Linked DNA regions of Elephas maximus indicus. The protein of the gene in region 2 purifies or fractionates together with the protein of the main gene of each other region. This does not show direct contact. Links are inferred from orthologs where the notes say so. Each region holds a gene or a part of one and is shown on either strand. Other genes may lie near its edges.

Region 1 (7,402 bases), on a different chromosome or scaffold from region 2:
GTGTTCCTCCCTTTTGGCTTTCTAACTCCAGATCTTTGCACACTTTATTAAAATACTTTGTCTTCTCCAGCCACCCTTTAAAATCTTCTGTTCAGCTCACTTTCTTCATCATCTCTTTCATTTGCTTTAGCTACTCCACGTTCAAGAGCAAGTTTCAGAGTCTCTTCTGACATTCATTTTGGTCTTTCTCTTTTCAGTCTTTTTAATGACCTTTTGTTTTCCTCATGTATGATGTTCTTGATGTCTGGTCTTTGGTCATCAGCGTTCAATGCATCAAATCTATTCTTGAGATGATCTCTAAATTCAGCTGGGATATACTCAAGGTCATACTTTGGCTCTCATGGATTTGTTTTAATTTTCTTTAACTTGCTTCAAGTTGAACTTGCATATGAGCAACTGATGTTCTGTTCCACAGTCGGTTCCTGGCCTTGTTCTGACTGATGATATTGAGCTTCTCCATTGTCTCTTTCTACAGATACAGTCGATCTGATTCCTATATATTCCATCTGGCGAGGTCCACGTGTATAGCTGCCATTTATGTTGCTGAAAATTGGTACATGCAATGAAAAAGTCAGTGGTCTTTCAAAATTCTATCACATGATCTCCGGCATCACTTCCACCACCAAGGCCGTATATTCTAACTACCAATCCTTCTTCATTTCCAACTTTTGCATTCCAATCACCAGTAATTATCAAGGCATCTTGATTGCACGTTTGATCAATTTCAGACTGCAGAAGTTGGTAAAAATCTTCAATTTATTCACCTTTGGCATTAGTGGTTGGTGCATAAATTTGAATAATAGTCGTATTAACTGGCCTTTCTTGTAGGCGAATGGATATTATCCTACGACTGGTAGGGTTTAATTCAGGATATATCTTGAAATGTTCTTTTTGATGATGAATTTGACACCATTCCTCTTCAAGTTGTTGTTACTGGCATAGTCAGCCATACGATCGTCCTATTCAAAATGGCCAATACCAGTCCATTTCAACTCACTAACAACGCCTAGGACATCAACCATTATGTGTTCCATTTCATTTCTGATGAGACGGGATTAGAGGCAGTTATGTTAATGAGGCAGGACTCAATCTACAGGATTAGGTTATATCTTGAGTCAATCTCTTTTGAGATATAAAAGAGAGAATCAAGCAGAGAGGAGATGGACCTCACACCAGGAGAGGAAGGGGTCCTTTGGACCCCGGGTTCCTGTGCTGAGAAGCTCCTAGACCAGGGGAAGACTGATGACAAGGACGTTCCCCCAGAGTCAACAGAAAGAAAACCTTCCCCTAGAGCCGGTGCCCTGAATTCAGACTTCTAGTCTTCTAAACTGTGAGAAAATAAATTTCTGTTAAAGTCACCCACTTGTGGTATTTCTGTTATAGGAGCAATAGATAGCTGAGACACCCTGTCAGGAAATACTTCTTGGATCAGTGAACCTAAAGTCGTAATAACATCAACAGCCTCCACGAGGCACAGGGCACATAGACGCTGTTTTTCTGTCAGGATTGCACCTTTAGACTGGGAAGACGTAAATCATGAAGATCCTCTAGGACCTCTCCAAAATAATAGTGGGAAACTACTGACTCTTACATTCAGAAATGAAAACCAAGGACATAAACAAAAAGGGAGAGAGGGGGCAAGGGTCCCTATACTACCTCAGAAGAGACTCTGAAACTACACTCCAAAAACTAAGAACTTTGAAGCTTTGTTTTTGTTTACCCCCTACCCAAAAAATGCCATCTTCAGAAAAGAAATCCCTACTAGAAACAGTAACAATGCCCATACTTTGGATTTGTCTCCTTGTTCTCTAACTCATCAAACACAATGCAAAATGTGAACCATATACATCAGTGCTTCAAATCACCCGGGAATCTTACAAAAATACAGGATCTGATTCAGTAGATTTAGAGGAAGGCCTAAGATTCTGCATTTCTACAAAGCTCCCACGTGATGCTTATACTGCTGGTCCATGAACCTCACTGAGTAATATGGATACGCATTATCTCAGTTTACCTTCACGACCACCCCCTCAGGTAAGTATGATCGTTCTCATTCCATAAAGGAGGAGCCTCAAGTGGAGAGGTGACTCGCCCCAAGGGCCGAACAAATGGGGCGGATGATATTACCGCGCAGGTCTGTGTCGGTCCCAGGCCCGCTGTGATCTTCCCCCACACCACAGCCTACCCACAGAAACAAACCAAAAGGCACGCGGGATGGCGGCAAGCTCTCTGCGACACCCTTCAATCACACGTGTTCCGCAAGTAATCCCAAACAAACCCGCCCACGAGGAACTCTGGGGACTCCAGTCAGGGCCCCCAGTCAGGGGTCCCAGTCAGGGACTCCAGTCAACAAAGCGCCGGGAGCTACTGAAGGCGGGAGGCATCGCGGACGGAGGGCTGGTCCCGAGCGGCCGCCGCGCCTCCAAGCCCTTCCGCCCGTCGCGGCGCGCTCTGCGATTCAGGCTCCACGCTAGCGAACTGCCGGACCTCCCAAGCCCGAGCTCACACGCACCCCGACGCGGCCGGCTGTGGAGACTCCGGAAAACGGCGGCCCCGAGCGGAGCTCCTGCGCAGCCCGAGCCCGAGCGCCCTCCAGGGGCCGCGGAAGGGCCCGAGCCCGAGGCGCTCACCGAGCCCGGGGGTCTGGGGCGGGCAGAGCGCAGGGCGGGGATGGGGCGGGGAGCCGGTCCCGAGTGGGAAACCCGAAAGGGCCGACGAGGAGGGATGCGGACGGCAGTCACGGACCCCACACTCCAGGAGCCGCGCTCCCTTCTGGCCGCACTCACTCACCTCCCCCGTACACACCACCGCTCATGGTTGCTTCTGGCGCGACGCCTACGCCACAAGACACCCGGCCAAGGAACCGCAGCGGCTGCAACTGCAGGTCCCACGACGCGTTACGCCGACCCCCTCAACTTCCAACGCCACGCCCCTCAGGCAACAAAGCAGCGTCCGCACACCCTGGAGCACAGCCACACTTGCTGGCCCCTCCTGCCAGCCAAACACGAGCGGCCCAGGCTACGCTCTGGCCATTCAGAATGAACCTATGCTGCTTCCCTGCCGCGGCTCAGCTAGTTTAGCCAATCGAAGGCAGCCATGGGGAGTGGGAGGGGAGGGAGCGACGCAAAGAGAGAATGAGTTGGGCTGCGGAACTGGAAGGGCGGGGCTTACCGGGGTGGGCGGGGAGAGTGTGGTGGCGCAGGAGGATGAGGAGGAAGGCTGGACGGCAGTGTCGGGGGCGGGTCCGGGGGTGTGGCTGGGCTGCGGGGAGCGACGGGAACCGGGTAAAGGAAGGCAAACCACCCGTAAAATAAAAAAAAAACCAAACCGGTTGTCGTGGAGTCGATTCCGACCCATAGCGACCCTATGGACTGAGCAGAACTACCGTTGGGTTTCCAAGGACCGGCGGGTGGATTCGAACTGTCGACCTTTCCTTTGGGAGCTGAGCTCTAAACCACTGCGCCACCAGGGCTCCAACCACTGGAAGTAGAGTCTAGAAATTCAAAGTGTTTTCATGCAGTGATTCCTGGCTTTGGAATGTGATGAATGAGGAATATTTTTTCTTTTAGAAAAAGTAGTTTTCACTAACTTTTATGTTGAAAAAATTAAAATATTTAGGGTACAAGGAATCAGTAAATCAAACGAACTGAAAGGATCCTGGAATTTTTTAAATGGTTGCTAATAATTTAAAGGAGAAAGACATAACAAGTAAATTTAGGTAGCACTTTATACTGTCATCCTTTATTTTTAATCCTGTGAGATAGGTTTCAATCAACCCTCATCCCAGCAACCACCTAATCCTAAATCTATCCTAATCCTAATCCTAAATCTATCTCCAGACTGTTCATAGTCCCCTGTTTCCACCCGTCTGGTCCAGTCCAGATCACAGTGGCTTCTTCCCTGGATTACTCCAACAACTTGTTACTCTGCCTTTTCACCACACTACAGGACGCTTAATCTTTACAAAATCTGGCCATGCCAGTCCAACTCGGACACTTAACGGTGTTGCATATCCTTGCGGTTAATATCAGTTCTTAAGTTAGTATATCTAGAGTTTGGACAGATAGCCGCTACTCTTTAGGATCGATTGAATAAAGCCCCCATCAATCTCAGAGCCAGCAGAGTGGGAAAGAGATGAGAATTGGGGTGCTGAACAGGGCTAGTGAGAAAACTCCCATTCATTTGACAATAGGACTATCTCACATCACATCTGATTATTTAACCCATCATTTAACCCAATGAGGTAATGCAGGGGTTTGCTAACTGTCGCCTGAAGGCCAAACCCAGCCTGTCATCTGTTTTTGTATGACCTATTACTAGAGCTAAGAATGGTTATTACATTTTTAAGAGTTTACCAAAAAACAACAAAAAAAATTTTTAAGCATAGTATTTCATGATGTGAAAATTTAAATTTTGGTGACCATAAACTACGTTTTAGTGAAACACATACAAGCTCGTTCACTTATAGCTGCTTTCACTCCATAAAAGCAGAGTTGACTAGTTGTAACAGAGACAGTGTGGTCCACTAATCCTAAAATACTTTCTCAGACCCTTTTCAGGAGAAGTTTGCCAACCCTGCAGATAACACATGTAATGGAGGGTGCACCGAGGTACGCTGTGTTAACTGTGGTCCCCATGATTGTAGCTCACTGTAGGGGCATCTCAAATCCCCAAAATGCTTCTACTTCCACTCTGTTTTTATGATGTGTTTGGCTAATAAAGCTGATGATTTATAAAATATTGTGATACTTTGATCTTTAATAGTTAAATATTGAAGAGATACTATTTGTAAGTTTTTTAAATTAGTAATGCATTTAATCAATTTAGCATTTGAATGCATAGTAATTCATAATGAAAAACTCTATCAATCAAGAACATTGTCTGAGACTTCAACTTGCTTACTTTGAATGCGTCATACTAGGTCCAGTCACCGGAGAAGGATATCATGTTTGTAAAGTTGAGAGCCAGCAAAGGCATGGGAAATCCTCAGTAAGATGGACTGATAGAGTGGCAGAATCAATGGACTCAAACAGGCCAACAATCATGAAGATGGTATGGTCCTGGGCAACATTTTATTCTATTATACATGGAGTCTCAGCTAACACACACACACACACACCAACTTAAATGGATTATACATACTGCTCTTATTAATATTATCTCCATCGTCTCCCGTGCATGGAAAAGAATATATTCTAGAAATAAGATACCTACCTTATTTGTGCAGCAGAGGAGAAGCCTGGGATGCTCAGACTGTCTTCTCCCACCATCTTCACACTGCAGTGCGGGGGGCAGGGGGAATCTCAGATATGATAGTACCAAGAAGAGAGCTAGAGAGAAGACTGCTAAGTCATGCTTGGATGTGTTTGATTTTAAAGGAAGGATTTTGCCCTCTTTGGTAATTTGGAGAAATATTAGAAAGCAGACCATTCATAATTTCAGGTCAGCCTGTTTTCTTGATGTATCACTGAACTCATTGTGTTTATTAACCATTGAAATGAGCTTCAAATGAAATGAACTTCTTCATGGTACATCTGATGTGTCAGTGCTCATCACATGTTAATGCAGATACAGGTGACTGTTAAGAAAGGACACTCATTGAGCTTCTTGGATCAGGTGGACACTTGGGACTATGTTGGTATCTCCTGCCTGGAGGGGAGATGAGAGGGTAGAGGGGGTTAGAAGCTGGCGAAACGGATATGAAAAGAGAGAGTGGAGGGAGGAAGTGGGCTGTATCATTAGGGGGAGAGTAATTGGGAGTATGTAGCAAGGTGTATATAAGTTTTTGTGTGAGAGACTAACTTGATTTGTAAACTTTCACTTAAAGCACAATAAAAATTATTAAAAAAAAAAAGAAAGGACACTCATTCAGCAGGCTAAACAAGCTGTTATACCATTGTCAATGCTGGGGAAACTTTTGCAATAGCAGCTTGTTTTCTTCCATTCTCATAATTAGAAAAATTAGTAGAAAATACATTAAAAGTATTAACCCAGCAGAATCTACTTTACCAAACGTGAAATACCTGAGGCTTTTTTTTCCTGCATTAATATTTCTCCTCTGTAGCCTAACACAAGGCGCTCTGGTAGCACAGTGTTAAAGCAATTAATAACAAAAAGGTGGGCGTTCGAAACCTCCAGCCCACTGCTTGGGAGAAAGACATCTCTTCCATAGAGATTTACAGTCTTGGAAACCCCATGGGGTCACTATGGGGATCACTCAATGGCAGTGCATTTGAGTGGGTACCCTAGTATGTTTTCTCTAATGTAAACTCTGCTACATTATGTTACAGATAGTTTCCCCCCCCCCCCAACTCAAGGAAGCCTCACGTGTGTCAGAATAGAACTGTGCTCCACAGGCTTTTCAATGCCTGATTTTTCTGAAGTAGATCGCCAGGCTTTTCTTCCAAGGTGCCTCGGGGTGGACTCGAACCTCCAACCTTTCACTTTGCACCACCCAGGAACTCCTACAGACAGCTAGTCAAATTTAAAAACAACAACAATAGATGCTACTCAAGGTTACTATCTGTCACTTCCATTTCACGGGCATAACATATCAAAATAGTCAATGCTTATTAGTTATGTCAACCTAAACCCAAAAGAGATTGAAATAGCATGTGTGTTAACTTACCTAGCCCACAGTAGATGCTCAGTGGTTGACTCTGAATCCAAATCTACAAAAACATGTGCACTTTCAAAACTCCTTTAGAAAATCCAAGCATCCAGACTGTCTTCCATGTACTGAGGGACAGCACTTGGTTTTGCCTCATGGAGGCACTGGTCTTCCATTCTTGTAATGCTGCATCTGGACACTTGGGATGCTACAGCTTTACTCCTTTTGTCACTGGCTCCCCAGTCCTCAGGTTATAGAATCACAGCAGTTATTGCAAAAAGACTGCTCTTGTCCTTTGTCTCAGCCTTTATTAAGTTTAGAGTTGAAAAAAACTGTTATTAATGCAATCTAGGATACAAATTCAGAACATTAGCATCCATCTGTTAAGACAGGTCCTAAAGGAAATGACACAAACATTCAGGTACACTTAAAATTATGTTATTTCATAACATAATTTTATATATGACACTAGCATTTATGAAAAGCAAATTTCAATGTGGACACTTCTGTCTGGATATAAAACACATGTACAAAAAGCCATTGTAAGCACCATCCTCTGTTTACTGAAGTTCTAAAAATATAACACTCATGTAGACACTACATAACAGAGAATGAATACCTGGAATTTAGGGTTTTTCAACAATAGAAATACGATCAGTCAGATTCACACATCTGTTTGCCATTAAAATTGTAAGAAATCTGCTAACCACCTCAATACCCCCCCCAAAAAAACCGAGTGCCGTCAAGTCGAATCCGACTCATAGCGACCCTACAGAACAGAGTACCAACCAT
Region 2 (8,086 bases):
ACAACATCAGCAGATGGACTGGACTCATATAGAGAAGAAGAAGCCTCTGATACCAAGCCCTGGTTCTCCTACAAACATGCATTCAAATAAGCTTGCCTGTGAAAATCTAAAAATAGAGAGCTACAAAGTATAAGGGAATGAGAGAAAGGTGAGCTTCCCCAAGGAGCCGCTAGAGTGGGAAGTTTGGGGGCTACCACCTGTCAGCTGATGCTCCTTATGAAATGACAAGAGCCTGCCAGAGAAATCTATCTCACTTTAACAGCGAGGTGTCTCCAATAAAAGCTGGGAAAAAGGGAGATGCCTCAATAGGAATCAAGGACCTCAACGACTCAAGAGAGGAAATCATGGCTTCAAATGCCAACTGCAGACTCACTTGATTAAAAATAAATTAAAAAAAAACTAAAGTATTCTGCAGATACTGATAAATCCAATGGCCAGCAGCACCAGGAAGAACGTAAACAACAAATCAGATCCTAGGACAATATGGTTCTCGATATGCTACCACAGTGAGGGCCAAAGCTGTGGGAGCCAGACACAAAGAACCATTGTCTTCCAGTGCAGGGAACAGAGTTCCCCTCTCCCTGCTGCTCCCAACAGGAATTGTAAGCACCGGTCAGGCTTCCTGCTGACCAGACAACACTGCTTGTTCCCCACAGCTCCCACCCTAGACACCGACCACCATTGACCTTGAACTCACATCCTCCAGGAGCCGTCCTTCTACCCGAAGCTCCCAGGAAGCCACCGTCCCTTCCCCATCCTCGGCATCTGACTTAGCCGGATTGAAAGTGTTAGAAATGAAAATTCGCAGCTTCCGTTTTTGCTGAGGAAGGCAGAAACAGGATTGATGGCGGGGCTTCAGTGGTCTGATGCTGAAGGCTAGGGTCTCCCCAAACCCCAAAATTACTCCTAACATCTGGCTTACTGTCTATCCAGTCCCTGGGGTGGGTGAATGGAGAGTCCACCGAGAAGGGGAGTACAGGCCACTGATCTGAGCGTTGAGTGCATACACTGGGATAAAGTCATGCAGGGTGCCAGATCCCAAAGGCAGCAAAGCAGTTGTAACAAAAACATGGACAGGATGTATTTCTGGTGCTAGGGACATGAAAAGTTCCTCCCCCTCGCTGTTCTGTTCTTATGCTCCTAATGTAATTCTCAGTTTGTAGGCGGAAGGGAGAGATGCAATTTAAATGCCAAGGAGAGCTGTGCTGCGCCTTTAATTTCTCATGCTAAGCCTGCTGAAGGTTCCCGAGTCCTTTCCTTCAGCTCTCTGCCTAGCGCTCTCCTGCATTACCTTGATGGGACGTTTCAAGGCCTCCTGGATATCTAGCCGTTTCCTCATGATAGTCTGATCCAGCTTCCTTTCAAAAGCCAAGAGATCCATATAGGCCTGAGATTCTGGTACCAGTTCACGAATCTTAGGAACAGAAAGATATAATTGGCATCTAGAGCTGACCATCTCTATTCTCAAACTCACTACACTCTCAGGGAGATCTACAGCCTGGACTCACCCTTTGAGGTAGAATTTTGTCAGCCATCTTCTTTTTCTTTGCACTGTATGGAATAAATACTGTTATGAGGTTGGGATGGCACTAGTCAGAACATGAAAACAAGCTGTCAGCATCTCCATTTATATAAAGTGGAGGGGCTGCAAAGCTTCTCTCAAGTCAAAGAACCCCCTTGCCTCCAAGCAGCATGAGGCATTCTCAGAATGAGTTCCCCAGCACGCACCAGGCTGCTGACACAGCACCACCACTTCTTGGTTCACAGTACTCCCACCTGTGTCCTCACAGACCTCTTCCCTCCCTCCCTCTGCCCCAGGGTCATCTTACTTGTGGTTTCGATTTTGGACTGCCTGTTGCTGGACCTGCTGGATCTGCTGAGGCGCAGGTCTCTTGCGGGACTGATCCATCCCTGACTGGGCCAGGCCAGGTCGGACTGAAGGGTTCCCCCCATAGCCAGGAGGTCCCATGGAAGGTCCCTGAGGTGTCATTCGGCTGCCTGGCAGCATACCTGGTCTCTATGGAGGGGAGAAGACCCAGAGATGTCACGGCCTTCCTTGCTAACTTCATCCGGAAAGGGAAAGTTCGGCGTGCCTGAGTTCTTTGAACAAAACAGGACTGGGGTGTGGGGTGGAGGAAAATGAGGCGAGAGCCCTCTGACTCTTTGAAATATGGGCAACTTAGGTTTCCTCCACTCCAATCATGGTTCCACAGAATACAGCCAACTTATACTAAAATTCTCCCCAATCTATTTTGGATCTGACAGATCAAACATCTCTAGTCCCACACTGACTCTGCCAGCTATTATTTCCGTAAACGCTGACCCCAATTTACCAGCTCTACCTTCTGTCTTCCTCTGGGCACTGGAGCTGCTCCAGCCTCTCTGCACTCCAGACCTCAAATGCCCACCCCTAGTGGCCCCACTTCATCCACGCTGATCCTATAACCTTACTTCCTACGGAAACAATGCCCCTAGCAGCAGGTGGGGATGCTAACTGCTCCCCCTACTTTCCTCCCAACTGCCTTCCCCACCCCCATCCCCACCCCGGGCCTGAATCTTTCCAGGAGAGTCCCTCCTACTTCTCCCCGCACCCTTGTCACTCCCAGGCCCCCGCTCGGCCCCGCCCCCGGCCCGCGCGCCCCTCCTCCTGCCCCACTCACCGGATAGGCCGCTCCGGGCATCGGGGAGCGGTACAGCCCTTGACCCGGCGCCGGGCCCATTCGCACTGGGGGCCCCGGAGTCCCACCCGGGCCCAGGGTGGCCGCCGCGCCCGCCCCTCCTGAGGCTCCGGCGCCGCCGCTCGGGGCCACCGACTGGAAACCCGCCCGGGCCGCCATCTTCTCTGGAGCCGCCGCAGCAGCTGCACAAAGAACCGGAACCGGAACTCCCCCCGCCCCTTGCGCGCCCCCCGAGCGCCCGCCTGTCAGCCCGGCCAGCCGGCCGGCTCGGGAGGCTTAGGGCAGCAAGACTGTGGGCTAGAGTGGGGGGGACCAGCGGAAAAGGCTGCGCTGACCACTCCCTCCCGCCTTCATGGTCCAGGGTCGAAAACCATAGAGACGAACTCTAGGCTAGAGAGGCCCTGAGAGAGGGCGCCCCCAGGCCGACCGGAGGAAGAGAAAGACCTGGAGAGGGCACTCACAGACCCTGCCCTAAGCCTCTGAAGAGGGTGGCGGAGTAAATGCTTCATTTTGGCGCAGTACTTTTAACTTTCCAAAGCGCTTTGATTATCTTCCGTTTCATTCCCTTACCGCTATAACTCTGGGGGGCTGAGGAGAGGAACGCACTGTTTATTCCATTTTGCAAACGGGAAAATTGAGCTCAAAGAGGGTAAATGACTTGGCAAAGGTCAACCAGCAAGTTACAGCAGAGTCATTCCTAGGATCCAGATCTCTTGGCTCCTAGCCCGTAGTTCATTCCACGGATAAAAAATAAAGTGCCTTAATAACCACCTCACACTGGAACTTCAGCCCAACTTTGTCCCTGACCTTTAACCTAACTCGTTCCAGATTTAACATTCCAGTGTATCTTGAATTTTGATCCAGCTCTTCAAGGAATCCTTTGTGGTGGAGCTTCTCTTTGAGGTCTTTGTTGCTTTTGACCCCTCCCTCTCTCCCTGCCCAGTATTGTAGTTCAAACTAGTTCAAACCATTCCCTCGTGATGGTCAGCCTGCCCCATCCCAAGAGCATCAGGACCTCCCAATCAAACCCTCTCCTTACTCTTCATTCTGATTGGCCCCAAGCTAAGGTCCAGTGCTAAGCACTTCATGGGAAGACCTAACTACCTTTCAAATAAGTGAAGAACAACACTGAAGAGGAGATGGTTGAAACCCAGTTTATTAGACCAGACGCATGCGTCACGCAGAGTCCCGCCTGCTGTTCCCCCATCCACTGCACACTTCTTGGCCTTGCTACTGTTTCCCTTTGGGGAGGTCTGGTCTCTAAGCAACTCCTACAAACAAAGAGTTCCCAAAGATCCGACAGCCTTACTCACCAACTCCAGGCCAATGCACAGGTGACCTGCCCACAGATCCTGTCCTGGGGTTGGAGACCCAGAGACAGTTGAGCAGAAAACACCTAGGAAGGGATTGGGACTCTGGCCTGGGAGGAATGCCTGGGACAGGGGGTGGGGGGTGAGGGAGGCAGGCCCTCTCCATCACTCATCTCTCATTAAGGAGAGAGGAACAGAACAGCAAAGCTTTCAACTCCCCCTCTAGGCCTGTCTCTTTCCTCCTACTACCAAAGCCCACCTCGCCAGAAAATATGAGTGGTAGGCTTGGGTATGAAGAGAGAGAAAGGGGTTGGGCACCCAGAAGGAGGAAAAGGCCACTGACTGGGGACCTTCCTTTCTGCCTGTTTACACCCTGCTGCCCAGTTGCGAGAGTTACCAATCCCCAGCTCCCTTTTGTATCTGAAAAAAGGCTGCCAGCTTGGGAAAAGTTCTTCTTGGCTTAATTTCCAGAGCAGTCTTCATCTCCTGGGTAAGGACTATCTCTGTTACAACCCCTTCCCTGGGGAGGCTGCAGTCAGCCAGGCAAAGGGCATTGGGGTGGATGGAGCAGGGGACGGGAATGTTAAGGCTGCAGGGAGGGCAGAGGGTGCCCAGAATAGGGGGAGAGGGTGAGGCCAGAAAGAGGCAGAGCTTGTGATTCACAGCTTCCTTTATGTCGCCACCAAGACAGTGCGAAGGTTACAATGCGCGTGTCGTCTCCTTGTGCTTCTCAGAGGGATGTGTGTACACAGTACAGACACCAGGGGAGAGAGTCCAACTCTTTATACAGGCGAAGGCATTCAGAGACCAGGGAGGAGGCAGAGACACACAAGGGGGATCTTGGGGCGGGTGGTTCTCAGAGACAAGAGGGGATGGGGTGGAGACAGACAAGGTTGGGGGAAGTATATACAGAGATATAGCAATATAGAGTCTGTATCATATAGAAATAGAAAATGCAGATGAGGTTGTTGAGAGAAGCAAATGGAGTTGGGGAAGCAGACTTGGGGGAGTTCCATAAGAAAATTTATGGATGTGGCCCTCTGCAGGGGCCCCTGGGAGACGGACCAGTGAGGTCAGGCACCAGTGCTCCTCTCCCTGAGCTGGAAGCCAACCAGCGGGGTCTTTTATGGGACAGTGGAGGCTGTCTCTTGGGATTTCTCTCCAGCAGCTACAGCTCTGGGGTGAGGGTGAGCTTGTAGGTATCAGGATGTGGCCTACAGCACCAGGGCCACACCTTGCCCCCATATCTACTTCTTCAGTGAATCCCCCCACCCAGCCCCCTAAAGACTCCACATGGTGTGAGGGGATGGGACTGGGGTCTTAGATCCTGCCCAGAGACTTGGGGTTGGGTAGGTCACTGGGCTGAGAGGGTCGCTTAAGGCTGGGGAAGCTCCCTTCCACTAGCCCTCCCCCTCAAGGTACATTCTCTGGTTTCAGGAAAACTACAGACCCCGGGGGGAATCCCCTCCACCCCCCACTGGGAGAGGACTTTGGTGACTGGTGGCAGCAAATGTAGGTGGACACTCAGATGACAGACAGCCAGACAGACAGAATTCAGGCTGGGAGCTGGGGGAGGCAGCATGGGGCAGAGAGGGGCAGCCTAAGGTCCCTTGCCCCTTTCTCTCTTTTTAGTGTCTCTTAGATTAGTTTTGTTAAAAATTAAAAGAATGGAATAGAGGCAGGGAGAAGACCCTAAGGTCAAGACTCCTTCCTCACCACAGACAAGAAGAAAGGACTGCCTAGGAATGGGGGGCTGCCCTTAGAGTGGGGGGTGAGTCCCCAAGACAGATGGGGCTAGCAGGCCCCGTTGCTCTTCTAGCCCTCCCCATCTAGGCCTTTGGTACAGTGGCCTGCAGGGCTCAGCAGGTAAAGTCTTCAAACGTGCCTCGGGCCGGATGGTGAGGTAGGATGTTGGCAGCGTAAGTCATTCCAGCAGGATGGCCACGGAGGCTCTCGCACGGGTTCTAGGGGAAGGGCACAGGATAGGGACTGGTTATCGGAAGGGCCACAGGGGGCTCTGGGGCGTGGGGGAGGGAAAGGAGAGAAGAGGCCAAGGGCGGGGTGGCTGGTCCTGGGGTGGTGGGGGAGGAAGGCGGTGGGGAGGGCGCCCCTCGCTTGCTCCCTCACGTGTCTCTTGACGTCATCCAGGCTGAGGGCCACGCCCTTATCGGCACTACTCCTTTTGGCTTCCTTCTGACACTTCCCTCGTCGGCACAGCTTGTGCTTAATGACCTGCAATGGGGGTGCAGCGTGGGGGTGGGTGGGCTGGAATCCCGCCCCCGTGGCCCCGGCCCCGGGCCTCCCAGCCGGCTCACCTCATAGGCGTAGTCAAAGAGCTCCAGCACCGTGAGGATGCTGGCGCCGATGAACAGCCCCATCTGGCCCCCAATGTCACCTGCAGGAGCGGCGGGGAGGTCAGTGGGGTCCGGACACTTTGGAGGCCAGCCGGGCTCACTGGGACAGGGGTGGGCAGGTCGTATTCGCAAGGGGATTGGTAGCCTTCGTACAGAAGGAGCGCAAAGCCAGATTCTAGAGGGATTTTTCTTTTCTTCCCATAATGGTTAAGTCCTACGGCTGCTGACCAAAGGGTCGGCAGTTGGAATCCACCAGGCGCTCCTTGGAAACTCTATGGGGCAGTTCTACTCTGTCCTATATACGCTATGGGTCGGAATCGACTCGATGGCACTCTTTTTTTTTTTTTTATGCTTTTCTGCATTTTTCTACTTTTCTAGAACAGGTAATATTTCAGGAAAAACAATTGTTTACAAAATAACCGAACACTCTCAGTGTCTGGGCCAACTTTCAGGGATATGTACGATAGTCCCACATCCACCCCTTGCCCGGCGCTCATGGACATAGGCCTGTCTCTAAAAGAAGCCTTGGAGCCCTGGTGGCACAGTGGTTAAAGCAATGGACTGCTAACTGAAAGGTCGGCAGTTGGAAACTACCAGCCTCCCTGCAGGAGAAAGATGTGGCAGTCTACTTCTGTTGAGATTTACAGCCTTGGAAACCCTATGAGGTCAGTATGAGTTGGAATCGACTTGACAGCAGTGGGTTTTTGGACGAGAAGTGTCAGCCTCCTCTTCTCACCACATACTGAGACAATAGGATTTGGGGAAAGGCCCCTAGGGGTGGGGGAGCCTCCTGTGACAGAGGTAAGCACCCTGCTTTGGGTGGTAGGGGCCAGGCCATGTCCGTAGCACTGGAAGGGAACAGGTGCCATCAGTAGCTCACCCAGGAGCCCTGCAATCTCATAGGCCTTCTTCTGCTCAATGGTCTCATAGTTGAGGACTTCAAAGAAAATGTCCAGCACCAGGATGTTCTCCCTGCAGTGGGGTTGGGGGAGGAGACCTAGGTTCAAGTCATATCTCTGTCCCTTACTAATTGGGTGACCTTAGCAAGTTAACCTCTCAGAATCTAAGTCTCCATATCTATAAAATGAGATGCTAATGGAGCTACCTGCTTTGTGGGGTTGCTGAGGGTTAAAGGATATGTTCTGTACAAAAAGATACTATGCGCACTGGGAAGTGTGAACTGATCACACTTACAGCAGTGAGGATGAAGATAGAAGACCAAGCAGGGAGTGGGGAGAAAGGGGCTTTCCTCCTGCTTATTCTGACTTGATCTTCCCTCTATACCCACCCCAGTCTCTTTGGGCCTTCCCCATGTCATCTCAGCTTCCTCCTGCCTGTCTCCCATCAGACCCCTCATACCCTTCATAGTCCCCAGCTTAAGGTCACAGTCAGAGCCCTTACCCTATGTACTGCTCAGACTTGTTGAATTTTTTGGCCAGGTACTTGGCTGAAGCTTTGCTGGGGATCTTGACCATGGACAGCTCCTTGCCGTAGCGGGTCAGGTTGCAGGGCATTTCGCACACGCAGTACTCCTGGTCCTTTTCCACCAGGAAATCTGCACCCGAGCCAGGTGGGAGGCGCCAGTTGAGTGGTGGTCTTCTCCCAGCACCTTGCCCAAGGGAACCCTAGGCCCCCCGTCTCTTTTCCTGCCCTTCACCTCAGCCGGGTGGCCACCCATTGCTGATCCTCTCCCAGCCTCCCCATGAGTATTTCTTAATTCTAAATCTCATTCCTTCAAGTCCCT

What was found. The genes of interacting proteins can lie anywhere in the genome.
Region 1: the proteins of SMARCD1 (region 2) and ACTL6A purify together in Homo sapiens (affinity purification with mass spectrometry; 8 studies listed by BioGRID and IntAct, with this or other methods). This does not show direct contact. The link is inferred for Elephas maximus indicus from reciprocal best matches to the Homo sapiens genes SMARCD1 and ACTL6A.

What each region holds. Positions count from the first base shown.
Region 1 is NC_064819.1:35,368,392-35,375,793, forward strand, and holds the start of ACTL6A (actin-like protein 6A), read right to left. Parts: upstream 3,016-7,402; 5' UTR 2,816-3,015; coding exon 2,791-2,815; intron 2,762-2,790; exon of another isoform or gene 2,513-2,761; intron 1-2,512.
Region 2 is NC_064822.1:105,498,148-105,506,233, reverse strand, and holds the start of SMARCD1 (SWI/SNF-related matrix-associated actin-dependent regulator of chromatin subfamily D member 1), read right to left. Parts: upstream 3,065-8,086; 5' UTR 2,838-3,064; coding exon 2,661-2,837; intron 2,018-2,660; coding exon 1,830-2,017; intron 1,552-1,829; coding exon 1,509-1,551; intron 1,415-1,508; coding exon 1,292-1,414; intron 821-1,291; coding exon 698-820; intron 1-697. Other genes in the region: ASIC1 (acid-sensing ion channel 1), read right to left, coding at 5,848-5,952, 6,116-6,220, 6,304-6,383, 7,223-7,314, 7,744-7,897. UniProt on the Homo sapiens protein: Involved in transcriptional activation and repression of select genes by chromatin remodeling (alteration of DNA-nucleosome topology).